2 linked regions of the Alligator mississippiensis genome follow. The protein of the gene in region 1 purifies or fractionates together with the protein of each later gene. This does not show direct contact. Links are inferred from orthologs where the notes say so. Each region holds a gene or a part of one and is shown on either strand. Other genes may lie near its edges. The genes, in order: CDC25C and SUFU.

The links.
Region 2: the proteins of CDC25C (region 1) and SUFU purify together in Homo sapiens (affinity purification with mass spectrometry; 4 studies listed by BioGRID and IntAct, counting the BioPlex papers as one, with this or other methods). This does not show direct contact. The link is inferred for Alligator mississippiensis from reciprocal best matches to the Homo sapiens genes CDC25C and SUFU.

The regions. Positions count from the first base shown.
Region 1 is NC_081832.1:79,615,051-79,622,994, forward strand, and holds the start of CDC25C (M-phase inducer phosphatase 3), read right to left. Parts: upstream 3,456-7,944; 5' UTR 3,441-3,455; coding exon 3,295-3,440; intron 3,201-3,294; coding exon 3,103-3,200; intron 2,888-3,102; coding exon 2,848-2,887; intron 2,828-2,847; exon of another isoform or gene 2,030-2,827; coding exon of another isoform or gene 1,932-2,029; intron 1,577-1,931; coding exon 1,543-1,576; intron 1,440-1,542; coding exon 1,323-1,439; intron 1,009-1,322; coding exon 910-1,008; intron 474-909; coding exon 339-473; intron 1-338. UniProt on the Homo sapiens protein: Functions as a dosage-dependent inducer in mitotic control. Tyrosine protein phosphatase required for progression of the cell cycle. When phosphorylated, highly effective in activating G2 cells into prophase.
Region 2 is NC_081829.1:99,404,012-99,412,136, forward strand, and holds the start of SUFU (suppressor of fused homolog), read right to left. Parts: upstream 3,475-8,125; 5' UTR 3,423-3,474; coding exon 3,289-3,422; intron 1-3,288. Other genes in the region: ACTR1A (alpha-centractin), read left to right, coding at 5,747-5,794. UniProt on the Homo sapiens protein: Negative regulator in the hedgehog/smoothened signaling pathway. Down-regulates GLI1-mediated transactivation of target genes. Down-regulates GLI2-mediated transactivation of target genes. Part of a corepressor complex that acts on DNA-bound GLI1.

The sequences.
Region 1 (7,944 bases):
CACCAAGACAGTCCGCTGGCAGTCACTGAGACCACGAGTCAGCCACAGGCCTGTGTTCCTGTGCCTGACTGTACCAGGCAAGGCAGAAGGACATGTCTGGGGCTCATTGTACTTGGGAGCTGCTCTCCCTTACATTTTCTCACAGTGGGTAATGACTATACCATCTTCCCAGTGCCCTGAAGTGACCAGCAGCCAGCTGAAAGAAAGCTCCTCAGCACCCCCTGGCTCTTGGTAGCCTGGAATCGGGCGAGGTCCGGGACTGGCTCTGTGATGCTTGTTTCTCTGTCCTGGGCATGGCTCTGCAGCCTGTGACACAGGACGCAGCATGCAGGACTCACCTCCATGTCTTCCTGCTCGTCAGGGAAGAAAGCTGCAAAGCTGGCCGAGTGATCTGCTGTCCTGTGTGCGTAGGATTCCACCTCGGCAATCGGGCTGCCTAGCTCGGTCATCTCAGACTCCAGGCTTCTTACATCCTAGCAGGGAAGAGGAGAAGAGTTTGGGGCTGCAGTGGTACCCAGCTCCCATACCTTCTCTGTCGTGTTTTCCAGCACCAACCACCAATCCAGAGAAACTCCGGAGAGTAGAGGCAGACTCCCTACAGTGCCTGCGTAGCCTCACTGCAGGGAGTATTTTCTAGAGCTTGCCTGGAGCAGAGTGCATGATCTGCCCCAGGGTCAGAAGAGGAATGCTTGTTCCCACTCCAGTTCCTGATTCTGTACTGGAGTCAGGGCTTCATTTGAGGAACAGACGGTACTCATGGTCAGAGAGGGACGATCTGATCTAGCCCAGCTTCTTCTCCTTCCCCTCTCGTAGGAGGAACCCTCACCCAGCCCGAGCTCTGTCGCTGTACTGCTACCCACTCCGTGGGAGGGAGTCACTGGATTCTGAGGAGCTGAGCTGTTAACTCACCAGCGGAGCAGTAAGGCAAGTCAGAGGATCCATCACTTCCTTATGGAACAGCAAGGGCTTGGACACATGCCATCCTGGATGCTTAAACCAGCCCCCCTCCTGAAACGAGAAGGGTCAGGAGCTCTCAGCTCTCTGGCTCTAGGAGGTGCTGAGAACTACCTTCAAGCCCCCACCCCTCAGGTCAAGAGCCCAAGGCAAGTTCAGCTCCAACCCTGGCATTAAGCAGCCACTGGGCACTGGCTGTGAGGAGGGTCACCAGCATGGTGGGTGGGTGAGAGCAGGAAGGGAATCTAGAGTTCCTGGAAGACTGCAACCCTCCCAAAAGCAGCACTTGCAAAACACTGTCGTGTCGTAGGGAACTCCAGTACTGAGACTGCTCCAGCCTGCCCTTCGCTGGTCCAGCAGGGACTCACCTTTGCCATGCTCATCAGGGGACTGGCCATCTCACTGCTCTCACAGTACATGGCGCCTGGTGTGCTGCACCGTACCTGGGGCTGGAACGGACAGGAGGGAACGCTCACTGGAGACAACTGTAAGCATAAACTCAGAGCTGCAGCCAGCATCCCAGCGCACCGACTCGCCACATCTCCCAGACAGCAAATCGCCTTTCTTTGAAGACGAAAAGGTACTCACCGGGAGAGACCTCAGACACTGCCTCTGCGACTCTCTGCAGGAAGAAAGATAGCCAGTCAGTGTCCTGGCCCCTCTTCCTGGCCAGCTTGCACTGCCCTGGGACAGGGCTCCCATCCCTACCTGCATCCTCCCTCGCATCCACAGAGCCCTTCCCAGCCCCGTGACAGCGCTCAGCGACAATTCAGGACACCTGTGACACCCCGCCCCCGCCAGCAGGATCATGCCATTTTGCAGGGAGGACAGTTTTGGAGGCCACGCCACGTGTCAGCGGCAGTGCTGCGACTTGAACGCGGGATCCTTTCTGTCATCTTACACCCTTTCCCCGTTTGTGCTGAACGGGACACAGCCAGCTGGCTGGAGACTGGCAGGACAGCTCAGAAACTACTCACTCGTTTCTCTGGTTTCCAGATTCTGGTGTCAACCCGAGTAAGAAATAACACCAAATCCAACACAGCTGGCACCCGCGCATCAGCCTCTGTGCAAACATCACCTGTCCAGGTCCAGCAGGTGCTAGACCTGGAAGAGGCAGGTACTGCAGACACCCAACCGCTGCGGGACGAGCAGCCGCTCTAGGCTCTTTAGGAACTCGTGCATTGTCCGCGCTCAGCAGGAGCTGTCCAGATGGGGACAACACCCGAACGGCACGGACACGCTGACAAGCGAGTCAACAGCCGTTTCTGACAGCATCCCAGCCACACGTGCCGAACGGGCTGGACCGTCCCCTGAATGGGCAGGCGGGCACAGCAGCGAACCAACAATACTACCATCTCTGTTCCTCGGCTAACCGCTTAGATGGGCAGGGGTTGTGTTGAAATGAGATTCAAGTAGGAGGACAAGGACTCGGCAGCTGAAAAGCCACAGGCCAACGCTAAAATCAGCGCAGCTGGAAGGTTTGTAAGACAGGACAGCCGAGGCAGAGACAGATCCACTTCAGCGCGCTCTGCGCAAAGGGAGAGCCCTGGGCCAATCGACCCACTGCGAACACGCAAAGAATAGCTGTGCTTCAAACTGCCGCGCAGTGCCGCCACCGCCCAGACTCCCAGCGTCGTGAAACAGGCTGGGCGCGACACGGTCCGAGCCAGCAGAGCCCTAGCCGCTGCCCGGCCAGAGGCAAGGACGGCTCGCGGGACGGGACAGGACGTCCGCCCGGCCCGACCCAGCACTCCTGACCCGGGCACAAGACACGCCCGCCACCGCTCGCAGCGGACGAGGAGCCTCGGGAGGGACAGGCCCCGCTCGCAGCACGGCGCAGGCTGCCGCGCAGAGACCGCCGGCCCCGCAGCAGCGAGCAGCCAGGACACTTACGGCCCCTGCCCGCGTCCCGGCGCGTCCGTCCGGCCTGCAACTGAAGAGACACAAGTAGGCGACACCCGCAGCGAGCGGCCGCGCCGGGCACGAGCCACAGCGAGGCGAAGGCGGCCGGCACCAGGGCGGGCCCGGGCAGCTGGGAACGCCCGGCAGCCCCGGCCCCCGCCGCGGCCCAGCGCGCATCCTCGCGGTCCGCCGCGCCGCCACGAGCGCCGGGCGGCGGGGCAGGGGCCGGGGGGCGGCGGCGCCTACCAGGCTCGGGCCCGCCCGGGGACGGCGCGAAGCGGAAGACGGTCATCTCCTCGCCGGCGCTGAGGTCGGACAGGTCCAGGCAGCAGCGCGGCGTGGCCCTGCGGGGAGAACGCGCGAGCGGCTCAGGGCCGGGCCGGGCCGGGCCCCACGGGAGGCGGCGGCCCGCGCGGAGGCCGGCGAAGCGGCGCTCACCCGGGCGAGGCGCGGAGGCCCCGGGCGAGGTCCGGCGAGAAGGGCAGCGAGAGGTCGGCGTCCCGCAGCAGCCCCAGCACCATGCGGCAGCCGGCGCGCAGCCCCAGGCGCGACCCGCCCCGCCCCGGCGAGCGCCGCCCCGACATGGCCCGCGGAGAGACCCCGCGCCGCCCACTTGAATGTAAATAGAACCCGCCCCCCGGCCCTGCCGCCCCGCCCCCCGGCCAATCAGCGCGCTGCTCTCCGCCCCTCACCAATCAGCGCGCTGCTGGGGGCGGGGGAAAACAAACCCCAGAGCCGCTCTCCGATTGGCTCGCTGCGCTGCCCGCTATTGGAGCCCGGGCGGGCAGGGCTATTGCCATTGGGGGCTTCCGCCGGCGGGCGGGGCTTCGGGCGGCCAATGGCCGCACGCGGGCGCACGTGGAGCTTGTCGACGCCGCACGTGGGCGTGGCGCAGGCGCCAAGAGGCGGCGCGGGCCGGGCCTGGCCGGGTCGGGCGGTGTCGTACATGCTGCCCGTCGCCTCCTCCCGGCCCGCGGCGGGGCGCAGGTACGGCCGCCCCGCCCCGCTCCCCGCGGCTCTGCCGGTGCCCAGCCCGGGGTCTCGGTCCCGGTCCCGGCCGCGGCTGTGGCACAGGCTCCCGCCCGCCGCGTCCGGGAAGGCAGCGGGGCTCGGCGCAGGGAGACCCGGGCGCTGCCCGCCTGGCGGGGGTCTCCGCGCCGACCCTTGCGGCCCCCGGGGGGCGCGGCATGCCCGCCCGCGGAAAGGCGGCGCCGGGGCGGGCGGGGGAGCGGCGGCGGGCTCGGGTGCCGGCAGGCGGCTGTGGGGGGCGCCGGTCCCCCGCAGAGACTGGGGCGGGGCGGGAGCGGCGGGCTGGGTGAGGCAGTTGCGCGGTGTGACGGGTGCGGCTGCGCGTCCGTGCGCCCCGCACAGCCCGGAGCGCCCCGTGCGCGGAGCAGCGGCTCGCCGCGCCCGTAGCTGCGAAGCGTCCGCTCCGATGCCCGCAGGAAGGGAAGGGAGGGAGCGGTTCCTCCGCAGGTCGCCCGGGCTGTGACGCCAGCTCCGGGTGTGCGCCGAGCCCTGTCCGCACCCAGCAGCGGTGCCGTTGCGCGGCGCCCTTGAAAGGACCTGGTGCGCGTGGAGGGATCCCGCGCGCCCCTGGCAGACCTCCGTGCTTCGGGCCTGAGCTCCCGCGGAGCCGGGGCTCCGTCCCCCGGGGGCCCCGTGGCGCAGCTCCGGTTCCGCGTCCCGGACCCAGCGGTTGACTTGGGGGAACGCGGCGCGGCGCCTCCGTCGGTGACACAAGCCCCCTGGACGCTGCGGGGTGCCGCTGAGCAAGCTCTTCTCCCCCGGAGCAGGCCCGTGTCCTCCGAGCCCGTTTCTTTCCGAGTTCGCATGGTCAGCGTCGGGGTCGGCACGTGGCCCAGCCCAGCGCAAGGAGCCGGCTCGGGATGCAGGTGTGGTGGTCTCTGCCAGGGACGTGGCTTGTCCAGGCTCGGGTCTCGGGTCTCCGGTGCTGACTGGGTTCCTGTTCCCCAGATCTGACATCGAGACGGATGAGAGCACCCTGCAGCGTAGGCAGAAGCAAATTGATTATGGGAAGAACACCCTGGGCTACCAGCGCTTTCTGCAGCAGGTTCCCAAGTGAGGGCTCTTTGTCTTTCACCTCCTCTCCCCGTGCGGGCCTGCTGGCTCTGGCCACAGGCCCTCGGCACAGGGGAGACGTCAGAGCTTGCTCCAGAGCAGGGGCTCCCAAGCTGCACCCCTGGGGTGTGCAAGACATGTGAGGGGTACCTGAGAGAAACTGGGTAATGGCAACTTGAATTTCCATTATAATAATAATAATAGGCGTGAAAGGGGCAGCTGGCAGATCTGGGAGGGGGCACGCAATAAGACAGTCTGGGAGCCCTGGCTCTGGAGCGCCTCTTCCTCCTCGCTGACCCTGCCGACGGGCAAGTTGCTCTTCCTGCCCCAGGGGACGGCGGGGCCGTTCTTGTCCTGTTCCCGCTAGGATAAGGGGTCTTGTCCCGAGGTGGGAGGATCTGGCCCTTCCTCATGACGAATGCGATGCTGTATTTGTAGGTCCACTCGGCAGGCAGAGGTCCACCCTCAGACCCCAAACAAGTACAAGAAGTACAGCCGCCGCTCCTGGGACATGCAGATCCGGCTGTGGAGACGGGCCTTGCACGCGTGGGACCCGCCCAGCCAGCATCCTCTCCAGTGCCACCAAGGACTTGAGAGGGAAGTGTCTGCCAGGTGTTTGGCTCCTCCAGAGCCTTCCAGGGGGAGTGCTCGTGCGGCAGGGTGACGGGGCAGCTTGTGCCCACGCTGGGCTGGATGGTGGTCTCCTTAGTGCCGCCTCAAAACGCTCGCTGAGTGCGGCTGCCCTTACACCTGCCCGTGCAGATGGCTCGAGACGGTCAGTGAATGGGGCGTTAACGTGCCCAGGCCTCCAGTTGTCAGGGGCCCACTGAGACTTGGCGCCTTATGATACTGGGCAGCGGGTGCTTTGCACCTCTGGAAGGAGAGGGGCTATGCAAAGAAATCGTGTCGTGCACAGTGTTGGGGACGCGTTCGCACGTCTTGACGTGCACCATGTGCCGTGGAAACTGGTTCCCTGCGTTGTGTGGAGTTACCCGGGCATCTCCGGTGCTGCTGGGGAGGGGGGCAGAGCTGGGGAACGGGCCTTCGGTTGCTGGGTCTGATTAGAGAGCAAAGACTGGGTGCAGTGTCCCACGTGGCTGTGCATCGGTGTGTTCTGGGGAGCAATCCTGCCCACCGTGGCTGGGGCTCAAGGGAGAGAGACTGCTGTGCCTCCCCGCAGCTCTGAGCCCTGGTGTGCCCCAGCACTTGCTGCTGCTGCCTCTCTCTTTGGGGTCAGTGACTGGAACTGCTGTTTCCTTGCAAGACAGGGCCTGGCAGCTCTCTGCAGCGCTGGAGATGGAGACAGACCCTTTGTGTTGCCTCTCTGATCACTGGCTGGGAGCCTTGGCTTGGCCTCCCCAGAGCCTGTCCAGAGCAGCACTAGGAGAGGTAGGCGGGGGATGCTGGTGGGGTGCGGGGGTCCACGGGGCAGGAGGCTTTCTGCGGAGGGATGGTGGGGCTGAGCAGGGGGCGCTGGGGGCGGGGAAGAGTGGTGGAAGGGATCAGCGGGCCTCGCTCGGGGCCTGGCCTTGTGCCTCTCTCTTGGATTGCTTTCCTGTTCCCGTCGGGCTCACGCTGGTTCCCCCTCGCTCAGCTGGCGGCTCTGGGCCCCTCGTCTCCTTGCCTGCCCCCCGAGGAGGATCCCGGCAGGCTGCACGTCCGGGGAGACGCTGCTTGTGGCTGGGGCCGCGTGTCCGGGGCGTGCGGCGCACCCCGTCTTCCGCAGCCGGCTCGGTGGGGGCCGCCGGAGCCGGAGCCTGCGCCCTGACGCAGCTGCTGCCCGGGCTCCTGGCCCCGGGGAGCGGCGGGAGCGCGCTCCTGGCCCGGGGGGGCGGGCCCTTGCCTTGCCCCCGGGCCGAGGGGACGCGGGCCGCCGGCCGGGGTGAGCGCCGGGCCGCCCGCTCGGGCGCAGGGAGGCGGCGGGGCCCTGCCGCGGGCGGGCGGGCGGGCGGGCGGGGGCCGGGCCGGGGTGAGGGCGGCGGTGCTGCGGGCCCCGGGGCCGGGGCGGGCGCGGCGATGGCGATGGCGGCGGCGCGGACTACACTTCCCAGGGTGCCCGGGCCGCGCGGGCGCTGCGGGCTCGGCCGGGCCCGGGTGCGGGGAGCCCGAGCCGGCGGCGCCCGCGCGCCCGAGCCGGGCGCTGGACGAGGTGGGAGCGGGCCCGGGTGCCGGGCGCCGGGGCCCCGCTTGCCCGGGGCTGGTGGCCGGAGGCTCGGCGGGGCGCTGTCGGGCGGCGCGGGGCAGGGACCCCGGCGTGGTGTCGCAGGGGCGGCGGCGGGGATGGCGCGCGCGGAGCCCCGGCCGGGCGGGCCCAGGAGCGGCGCGGCGGGCGCTGCCCCGGCCCGGCCCTGCTGAGCGGCGCGGCGCGGCGCGGCGCGGCGGGCCTGGCTCGCGGGAGCCATGGTGCCGCTGGTGGCGGAGCAGCTGCAGACGCGGGCGCTGGAGGAGCCGACACGCGCGTCCTTCGGCATCCGCCCGGTAAGAGGTTTCCCGAGCGCGCCGAGCAGGCTCAGGCCCCGCGGGACATGGGGCCGACATCGTGCTGGCGCTCCGGGGCGGGCGGCGGGAGCCGGCAGGGCCGTGCGGGGTGGCGGGTCGCGCCCGGAGCTGCGGGGGAAGCTTGCCGCAAACCAGGCGGGTCCGGCCGGCGCCGGGCGCTGCGGGGTCCCTGGGCGTCCCGCGGCGCGAGCTCGGGCCGGGGCCGGGGCCGGGGCCGGGCCGGGGCTGTTGTCTGCGCTGTGGCGGTGGCTGCTGGGCGATGGGCGATGGCCGTGCCTGGTGGGGCTCAGAGGCGTCTCCTTGGAGGAGCGCTTTGTGACCCCCCTGGGATAGGGACGGAGTTTCTTCGGGGAGGGGGAGCCCCTGCATCCTCCCTACGGGGGTGGCCTTTTTGTAACGATCCGGATCTGGTTTTTCTCCCAAACAAATTAAGCACGCTGAGATGCTCTTGCACCCTGGCAAGGGTCTCTTACAGGTCGGGCAGCCTCTGCTCCCTCGCTGCTCCCA
Region 2 (8,125 bases), on another chromosome or scaffold:
GGGACTGGTATCAAATTCATCCTTGGGCTTCACTTCTCCAGGCAAAGCAACTCCAGTTCCTTCAGTCTTTCCTCGTAACTCACATTGCCCCTTGGAGAATCCCAGTAAGAAACTCCTTCCTAGAATGGATTTTTGCACCACATTTGAGAGAGCAAGGGGGAAGAGCCTTGCACAAGGAGAGAAACAGAAGGTAGACACATTGAAGTGAACATTTTGAATAGTCAGAGAGGAGGCCTCTAGATAAAGCAACTACTGCAAGGCACAGAGAGGGATTTGTTGTGCTTCTATTTTAAGTCTGGGGACCACCTGTGGAAAGAGTATATGCTACAAATTGTACGGCACATTTTCTTGTCGAAGTATTAACGCAAGCATTTCACCATACAGACACATGCAAATTAGCATATGTTGTGCCTACTTTAATGCTCTTTACATTCAGTTTATGATTTCCCAATTGATATGCTTCTTTCTATTAAGGTATTGAGCCCTATTGGATATAAAGATAGTACAACTTCACAACTGAAAGGAGGGGCCAAGCCCCCAATTCATTTTTTTATAATGTATACAATAATACATCAACAGGAACTGCTCGCTTTAAAAGCGTTTTATTGAGTAGTAACAGCACTGGGCGCACTTTGAAGACACCACACTTCAGCAAAGCAATCTGTCTCTCCATCACGTGAGTCCTTCTGCTCTTCTTCCTCAAGCTGCTGATGCTACACTAAAAGAAAGAAAACAAAAAAAGTCATCTACAACGAAGGAGACCACTTCAAAAAGTGTAATTTTTCCTGACTGCTATCATTTTGGAGTGGAGGGGTGGGCTTAGCTAATGAAGCAGAGGAGGAAAGTTAAACAAAGACATGATGGGGGATGTGGGTGGGAACCTAAATTATGCGGTGTTTGTGTTTTAATATCTTTATGAATTTTGCAAAGTCGCCAGCCAAATCCTTTGCACGAGCACTGGGGACGCGTGTTAGAAGACCCCAAGGTGGAGAAGAGTTAGACAGTATGACAGCAATGACACAAAATTCAATACTTACAGGGACCAACCTCCATCTGTGGTCCTGGTTTGTCCTCCATCTCTGCTTTATATCGGAGGCTGCTCAGGACTTCTGTGACCACGAGACCCAACACCCATTAGGCAGAAGAGTCGCTACCGTCAGTGGAGAATCCATCGGGGGTTCACAACAAGCTCTAGTTCGGTGGTGGAAGATAATGACAAGCTCCTTGTAGTAAGAGCGGGCCGTGCAGCCACACAGCTCATTGCATGCCTACAGACCAGCCAGAGATCCTTCCTTACGGAGACACTGAAAACTCTGTTGTGCCCCTTGGCTCAGCATTTGCTCAACACATGAGCAAAATAAGGCTCTTCTCCCGAGAGATCAACAACAGGTCAGGATCTCAATACAAGGAATGAAGAGTACGTGAACTTCCCATGAACTGCAAGTGCTAAAAAACAGCACCTGGGTGCACAGAGCCATTTCAGCGGAGGGGAACAGCTGATCAAGATGAACCCAGAGGGCACGCAGACGTGTCCCAGGTAGCCAAAGCAGCATGGGATCCTCATAGATGCACAAAAATAGTGTTAAATGCAGATGCACCAAAAAGTACTTTGCAATAGGTTAAAAAAAACCCATCCTTCATCTGAATGGGCTGCTTCCAAAGTGGGTTTGATAATGTGCAGTGAGAGGCCAGATCAGCATTACTACATTTTGCTTGACGCAAGGCATTTGAATGCAAATCAACTCAACCCACAACTCTGAAGTGGAGGCCAGCCCTTTGACCGTAACCTTTTCAAGGCAGGGAGTTGTCTTAAGTCATCTTGGTTAATTCTCTGTTCTACGCAGTCCACCGAGTCATCCGCTTGTCCCACAAACCTTTAAATTGCTGTTTTCAATTGTCCGCACGCTAGCTGCAAGTAAGTGAACTGAATTACATATCTTGTAGCTGCGCGCATCTCTGCGCTGCAACTTATGTAGATATAGCACCCCCGCTCGCTTTGAACAACGGGTTCAGAAGAATGGAAACGTTTGGGATTTCCTTTGGAAAAGCCAGAACTGCACCAGCATGTAACAGCCCCTCGTCAAAGGGCTGATGAGACCGGCCAGAGGAAAAAGTTGGATTTGCATTTGCAAAAGGCAATTCTCTGATGACTGACGGAAACCCTAGGAAGTCTGATACCAGGGAGAAAGACACCTGCCCAGCCAGGGGCCATAAAACGATTAGCGGAAGTAATACGATTCATTTATTAGCATATCATTGGAAACACAAGAGAACGGGTCGTTGCATTATAGTGCCTTGAAAGCACGAGATGCAGCAAAACACGGAGACTGCCCGGGGGCTGATGGAAAGACAGCTCGGCCTCATCTCTTCACACGTCACGGCCACGAGCTGTTCATACGGGAGCACCACCACCAGCTTCACCTTGCCCACTCGCGTGCCAAACCCGCCCACGAGGCAACGCTGCCTCCGAAGGGCCCCGAGCCCCCGCTTTGGCCTTGCTAAGCGCCACGAGCTCGAGGTCACTTAAAGGCAGCTGCCAGGCCTTGTTTTTGGGATCTGACAAGAGCAAAGCAGGAGGGAGCGGGCAACAGGAGCTGCTAACGATGCTCTGGGGCTCTGCAGAGACAGCAGACGTGCCCGTAGGGACCGTATAGTATCACGTAATGCACCGTAAAGGAAGGAGTGCATCCATAGGGCTCTACCCCTTGCAACTTTACCCCTCTTCCGGTGTATTTAGCCACTCTTCTTAATAAACACCTAAATGCTGGAGAAAACACAGCCGCCCTCTCACACGGACAGCGCGGAGGTGTCCAAAGGCTCCCGATCTGCCCCGAGAGACGTGCAAGCGGGGAGAGATGCACCTGTTGCACAGAGCCAGTCTCCGGAGCTAAATCTTCCCCTTTGCAAACGTCCACGTCGGCGGGTCACGCCGCGCCGCGCCGCACCGCGCACAGAAAGCCACGCTGCCCTGCACGGCCAGGTGGAAGCGAGACTCCCTTTGAAACGCAGAATCGGCGCGCCCTAATAAATACGGATTAGGGGTCCCGGTGGTCTTCCCGAGACCCGTTCGGACACGCCGTCTTTCCACCCGAGCCCTCGTGCCGAGATCTCCTCGGCCGAGCTGATGTCACGTCCCGGGCGCGCTCCACCAGTGTGAGAGCTGCACTGGGGTATAGCTCCCCATGAGGACCCCTCGCCGTGACGTCACCCCCGCGGGGCCCCGCCCCCCCGTGACGTCACGCGGGATGCCCCGCCCCGTGCCCCCCTGGCCCGGGCCCGCGCGCTCACCAGTACTTGAGGATGGCGGTGACCTGCAGCGGGTTGGGCTGCTCGGGGTAGAGGCGGCGGCACTCTCCGTAGATGCCGTGCAGGCCCGGCGGGAAGAGCGCGGGGAAGGCGGCCGGCGGCCGCGCGCCCTCCATGGCCCGGCCCGGCCCGACCTGCGCCCGGTGGCGGCGGCGGCTCCGGCCGGGGTGGGGCGGGGCCTGCTGACGAGCGCGCGGCTCCACCAATCGCCTGGAGGGGATGGGGCGGGGCCTCCCCCCGCCGGCCCCGCCCCCGCCGCCTGCCGCCGCCCGAGGCTCGCGCGCCCCCTGGCGGCCGCCGCCGGCAGCTGCACCCGGCCCTATCCACCCATGAACCTGGAGCCTAGGGGGGGCTCAGCCTCGTGCACGTGCACATGCACACGCGCGAGGTTCATGCTGCGCGTGACAGCCTCGACCTCTTACAGCCGCCGGGATTTAGCCCCCTAAATGGCCCCTTTGACTCCGGCTCCTAGAACGAATCGCGCACGTGCGTTTTGTGTAGGATAAGGGTCCACGTAACCAGCCGTTGTCCATGGGCACTGCTACGCCTGTAAGACTTTGGCAGGCAGGACGGCAGAAATGCGACGTTTTCCAGTTTTGGGGAATTTCCTGTCGTTGCTCTGTACAGCGGGGTGTACGGCTCAATTGCGACAACAACCGCACTGCGTCTCTCCTTTCTTTCTGTCTTTCTTTCTTCCAGGGAAGGGCCAGACCGTGCTAGAAATTGTAGCCACGTCTCTAATCCTGCAAAGTCTCGTGCACCTGTAAAAGTTTGCACGCTGCGAATGCCTCCATAAATCTTGCCAAGATCAGGACGTGGGATTATAGCTAAAGCAGCAAATTGAGCTGCAAGGTGTTCCTGCTCCCTGGGTTTTCCATGTGCGCAGGTGAAGAATATTTGCCCAAACGTCAATGTACACAAAATAGGTTTCGGGGAGTTCACCTGCAGCCAGAGACTGAAAGGTGGGCAAACAAACGAATAAGAGTTGCTAAGAGGCGAGCAATTTATACTTGAATGAAGTACTGGCTCAAACAATACGCAATGTTTCACCTGTCCTAGTACGGTGATACCAATAACGGTTTCCCCACCTGAGAAAAGTCGACTGCGGTAACCGGAGAAGGTAAATATTAGAAACAGAATCCCTTAGCAAATACTTGGGTTGGTTTAAGGCACACATACGTCTCTCTGGTGATTTATCTGGGCTAACATGACACCTCCCGTGCTGTTCGGCCCGCTAACGATGGATCGTAACGAGTGAGAAGGATATAAAAATCAATAAAATTAGCTGAGGTCAATATTCAGAGTATCTGCCCAGGATTCAATTTAAAGGTGAGGCTCAATGTCTGAATGAACGGGTGCTAAAATACTCCGCGCACGTGTTGTTGGGTTGTAAAAAAGCCCAGGGTGCTTCGTTCAGCCTAAACGCTGCTGGGCAGCAGTCATCAAACAGCGTGTGGTTGGAGCAGGGAAGGAGACAGCGTATTTTATCATCTCTCCATTCCAGTGAGTCGCAATCGGGGTGAGCAGCGCCCCGGGGGGCTCGTGAGGTCCTTTCCAGGGTGCCAAGGCGCGCGCCACTTCGAGGCCCAACGACTCGATGTTGAGGCAGGACGACGGTGCGGCGGCGGCGGCGGCGGTGGAAGGAAGAGACCAACCCAAAGACCACGCGTGTCTGGAATCGGGCTCTTCAGTCACCTGAGGACCCATCAAGTTTAAAACCAAAGGCCTGGCCCCGGCAGCGGCGTTTCTAGTCAGGCAGCGCCGAGGGATGCCATTGGCCTCGGGGCTCCTTATAGTCCTTGCGGCTCCCTTGCTGACTCTTGGTTGCGCGGCTGTCAATGACCTGCTCTGCCTTTTAAGAGGCTCGACGTCGTGCCCATCGGGCTGGGCCACCTTTCTTCTGCCCCTCGCTGCTCCTGGGCACGAGGCGCCTAGTTCGCAGCCTGGCAGAGCATTGTCACCCACCCTCTTCTGAAGCCGCCCGAGGCCTGCTGTGGCCAAGAGCCTCCTTCAAGGGACTACCTGTCCCAAGATGCACCGCCCCCCGGACTACAACTCCCGGCATGCTCACAGCTCCACATGCACAGAGAACGACATTTCCCAGCATGCCCCGCGCACTCTGCCTATGAAGAGCTCCCAGCATGCCCCGCAATTCCCTCAAGAACTACATTACCCAGCACGCCCCGCCTCCCTACCCGAAGACAGCTCCCAGCATGACCCGCGCCCCGACTACATTTCCCAGCATGCTCCACGCCCTCCGCCTCATGAAGACGGCTCCCAGCATGCTCTGCGATCCCTAAGACTACATTTCCCAGCATAACCCGCGCCTACCTCAAGAAGACAGCTCCCAGGCTGCTTCGCGCGCTGCCGCGTCCCTCGCGCATGCGCCCCGCGGCCCGGGCTGTGGCTCCCCGGCTGGTGTGTGCGGCGGGTGCTGGCCATGGAGTCCTACGACGTGATCGCGAACCAGCCCGTCGTGATCGACAACGTGAGTGCGGGGCCCGCCGGCCCCTGCGGGGCGGGGCGGGGGGGGAGCGCGGGCATCGCCGCCCTTTGTCATCGCGGTCCCCGCCCCGCCCCCCCCCCGGCGCCGGCCACAGAGACGCGTCAACCGAGCTTGGCGCCCACGGGCCGCTCGTTCTGCTTCCTGATTGGCTCCCGCGCTTGCCAATCTCCGCCTGAGGGCGCAACTGAACATGCTGGCGAAACGGGTCCTCGGCTTCGGGGTGGGGTGTGTTTTGATGGCCTCCGATTGGCTGTCCCGTCTGTCAGTCGCCCTCAGCGCCCTTCTCCCCTGTTTGAGGCGGGGAGTCCCGCCCCCCCGGGGAGAGCCCCTGCGCTAATTGGTCGTGAGGGCTGTCAGTCATTGTCCAGGCTTCGGGGTGAGCTGCCCCGCCCGTTGGCTGCCTTGGGACAATGGGCGCTGGGCCGTGGGGCCCCTCCCAGCATGCACTGCTGCTTGAGCCCTCCCAGCATGCATTGCTCCGTGTTCTCTGGTGTGGCCCCTCATGCACTGCTCCTTGTGCTGTCCTTGAGGTGGCCCCTCCCAGCATGCACTGCTCTGTTGTCTGGTCTTGGGGGGGACACTCCCAGCATGCAGTGCTCTGTTGTGCTTTCACTGGGGTGGCCCCTCCCAGCATTCACTGCTCCTTGTGCCCTCCCAGCATGCACTGCTCTGTGTTGTGGGGTGGCAGCTCCCAGCATGCACTTCTCTGTTGTGCTGTCCTGGGGGGGGGGGAGACACTCCCAGCATGCACTGCTCTGTGTTGTGCTCCGGGGTGGCAGCTCCCAGCATGCATTTCTCTGTTGTGCTGTCCTGGGGGGGGGAGACACTCCCAGCATGCGCTGCTCTGTGTTTTGCTCTGGGGTGGCTGCTCCCAGCATGCACTGCTCTGTTGTGCTCTCACTGGGGTGGCTGCTCCCAGCATGCACCGCTCTGTGTTGTGCTCTGGGGTGGCTGCTCCCAGCATGCACTGCTCTGTTGTGCTGGCCTGGGGGCCCCTCCCAGCATGCACTGCTCTGTGCTCTCACTGGGGTGGCTGCTCCCAGCATGCACTGCTCTGTTGTGCTCTCACTGGGGTGGCTGCTCCCAGCATGCACTGCTCTGTTGTGCTCTCACTGGGGTGGCTGCTCCCAGCATGCACTGCTCTGTGTTGTGCTCTCACTGGGGTGGCTGCTCCCAGCATGCACTGCTCTGTGTTGTGCTCTGGGGTGGCTGCTCCCACGAGGAGCTCTATCTCCAAGTGAGTGGGAGGAGCAGCTGCTGGGATTGACTGCTCCCAGAATGCACTGCTCCATCCCCGCTGACAGGGCCTGGTCCCGGCACAGGAGGCTTCTCTTTGATCCCCTCCTTGGTGCCGTGTCAGCATCATGTGGGCAGGGCGGCGGTGGCCTCCGGGGGCCCGTCCCCCGGGGCCTGGGCGAGCCCTGATGCCGAGGCCTCCCAACAAACGGCGCTATTCAGGGACGGGCCAGAGCAGGAGGGGGTGGAAGGGCAGCAGGTTGAGCCCAGTGAGTCACGCTCTCCGTCTCCTCCCTTCGGCTCTCCCGTGCCAACGCCCCGAGCGCATCTTGCTGTCCCAGATTGGGCCGTGCCCGTGCTCTCATCTTTCTGCCTCGCCTTGGGCAAAGGGTTGCAGGAGTGGCAAGCAGCACGTGGGATGGCTCGCCCGGCCGTCCTCAAGGCAGACCGCGTTTCTCACATACCTCCCGGCCTCGCTCCTTGTTTTGCACGTCTCAGAAAACCTGCTGCGGGTCCTGCCGGAGATGCAGCGTTGGCGTTTGCTCCTCCGCTTGGTGTTTCTCTCGGAGATCAGGGCAGCGATGCCGTCCAGTAATCAGAGCAGGGTTCCCAGTGCTACACACCACAGTCTTTGAAAGCAAATCCAGATTTAACAGATTGGTTCCTTTTTTCCTCACTCTTTTATGCACTGTGATGAGTTTGAGCAAGTTGCTTGTCCTCTCTGTGCTTTGAACTGTCCTCAGTAAAAAGAGGATAGCGAAGCTTTTCCCCACCGGGGTAAAACCATTGCTAGTTCAAGGGTGAAAGGCCCCAGAGGACGTGTCGTCAGTCAGCGTGGTGCAGGCAGTGCGATGCCACGGTGAGGGGCAAAGGATGAAGGGACACATTAGCAGCTATCCAGGTCCGATTCTGCTCTATCCTGGGCACGTTACGTGGGGAATTTTTATCCCCTGCAAATGAAAGAAATCTTTGCTCCGGTTACGTTGTGGGACCAGCGTCCTTTCCTGGCATGGCTCCCAGCTCGGAGCCTGGCGTGACGTTGCAGTTTCAGCGCTGTCCATGAGCTAGGCGAGGGAG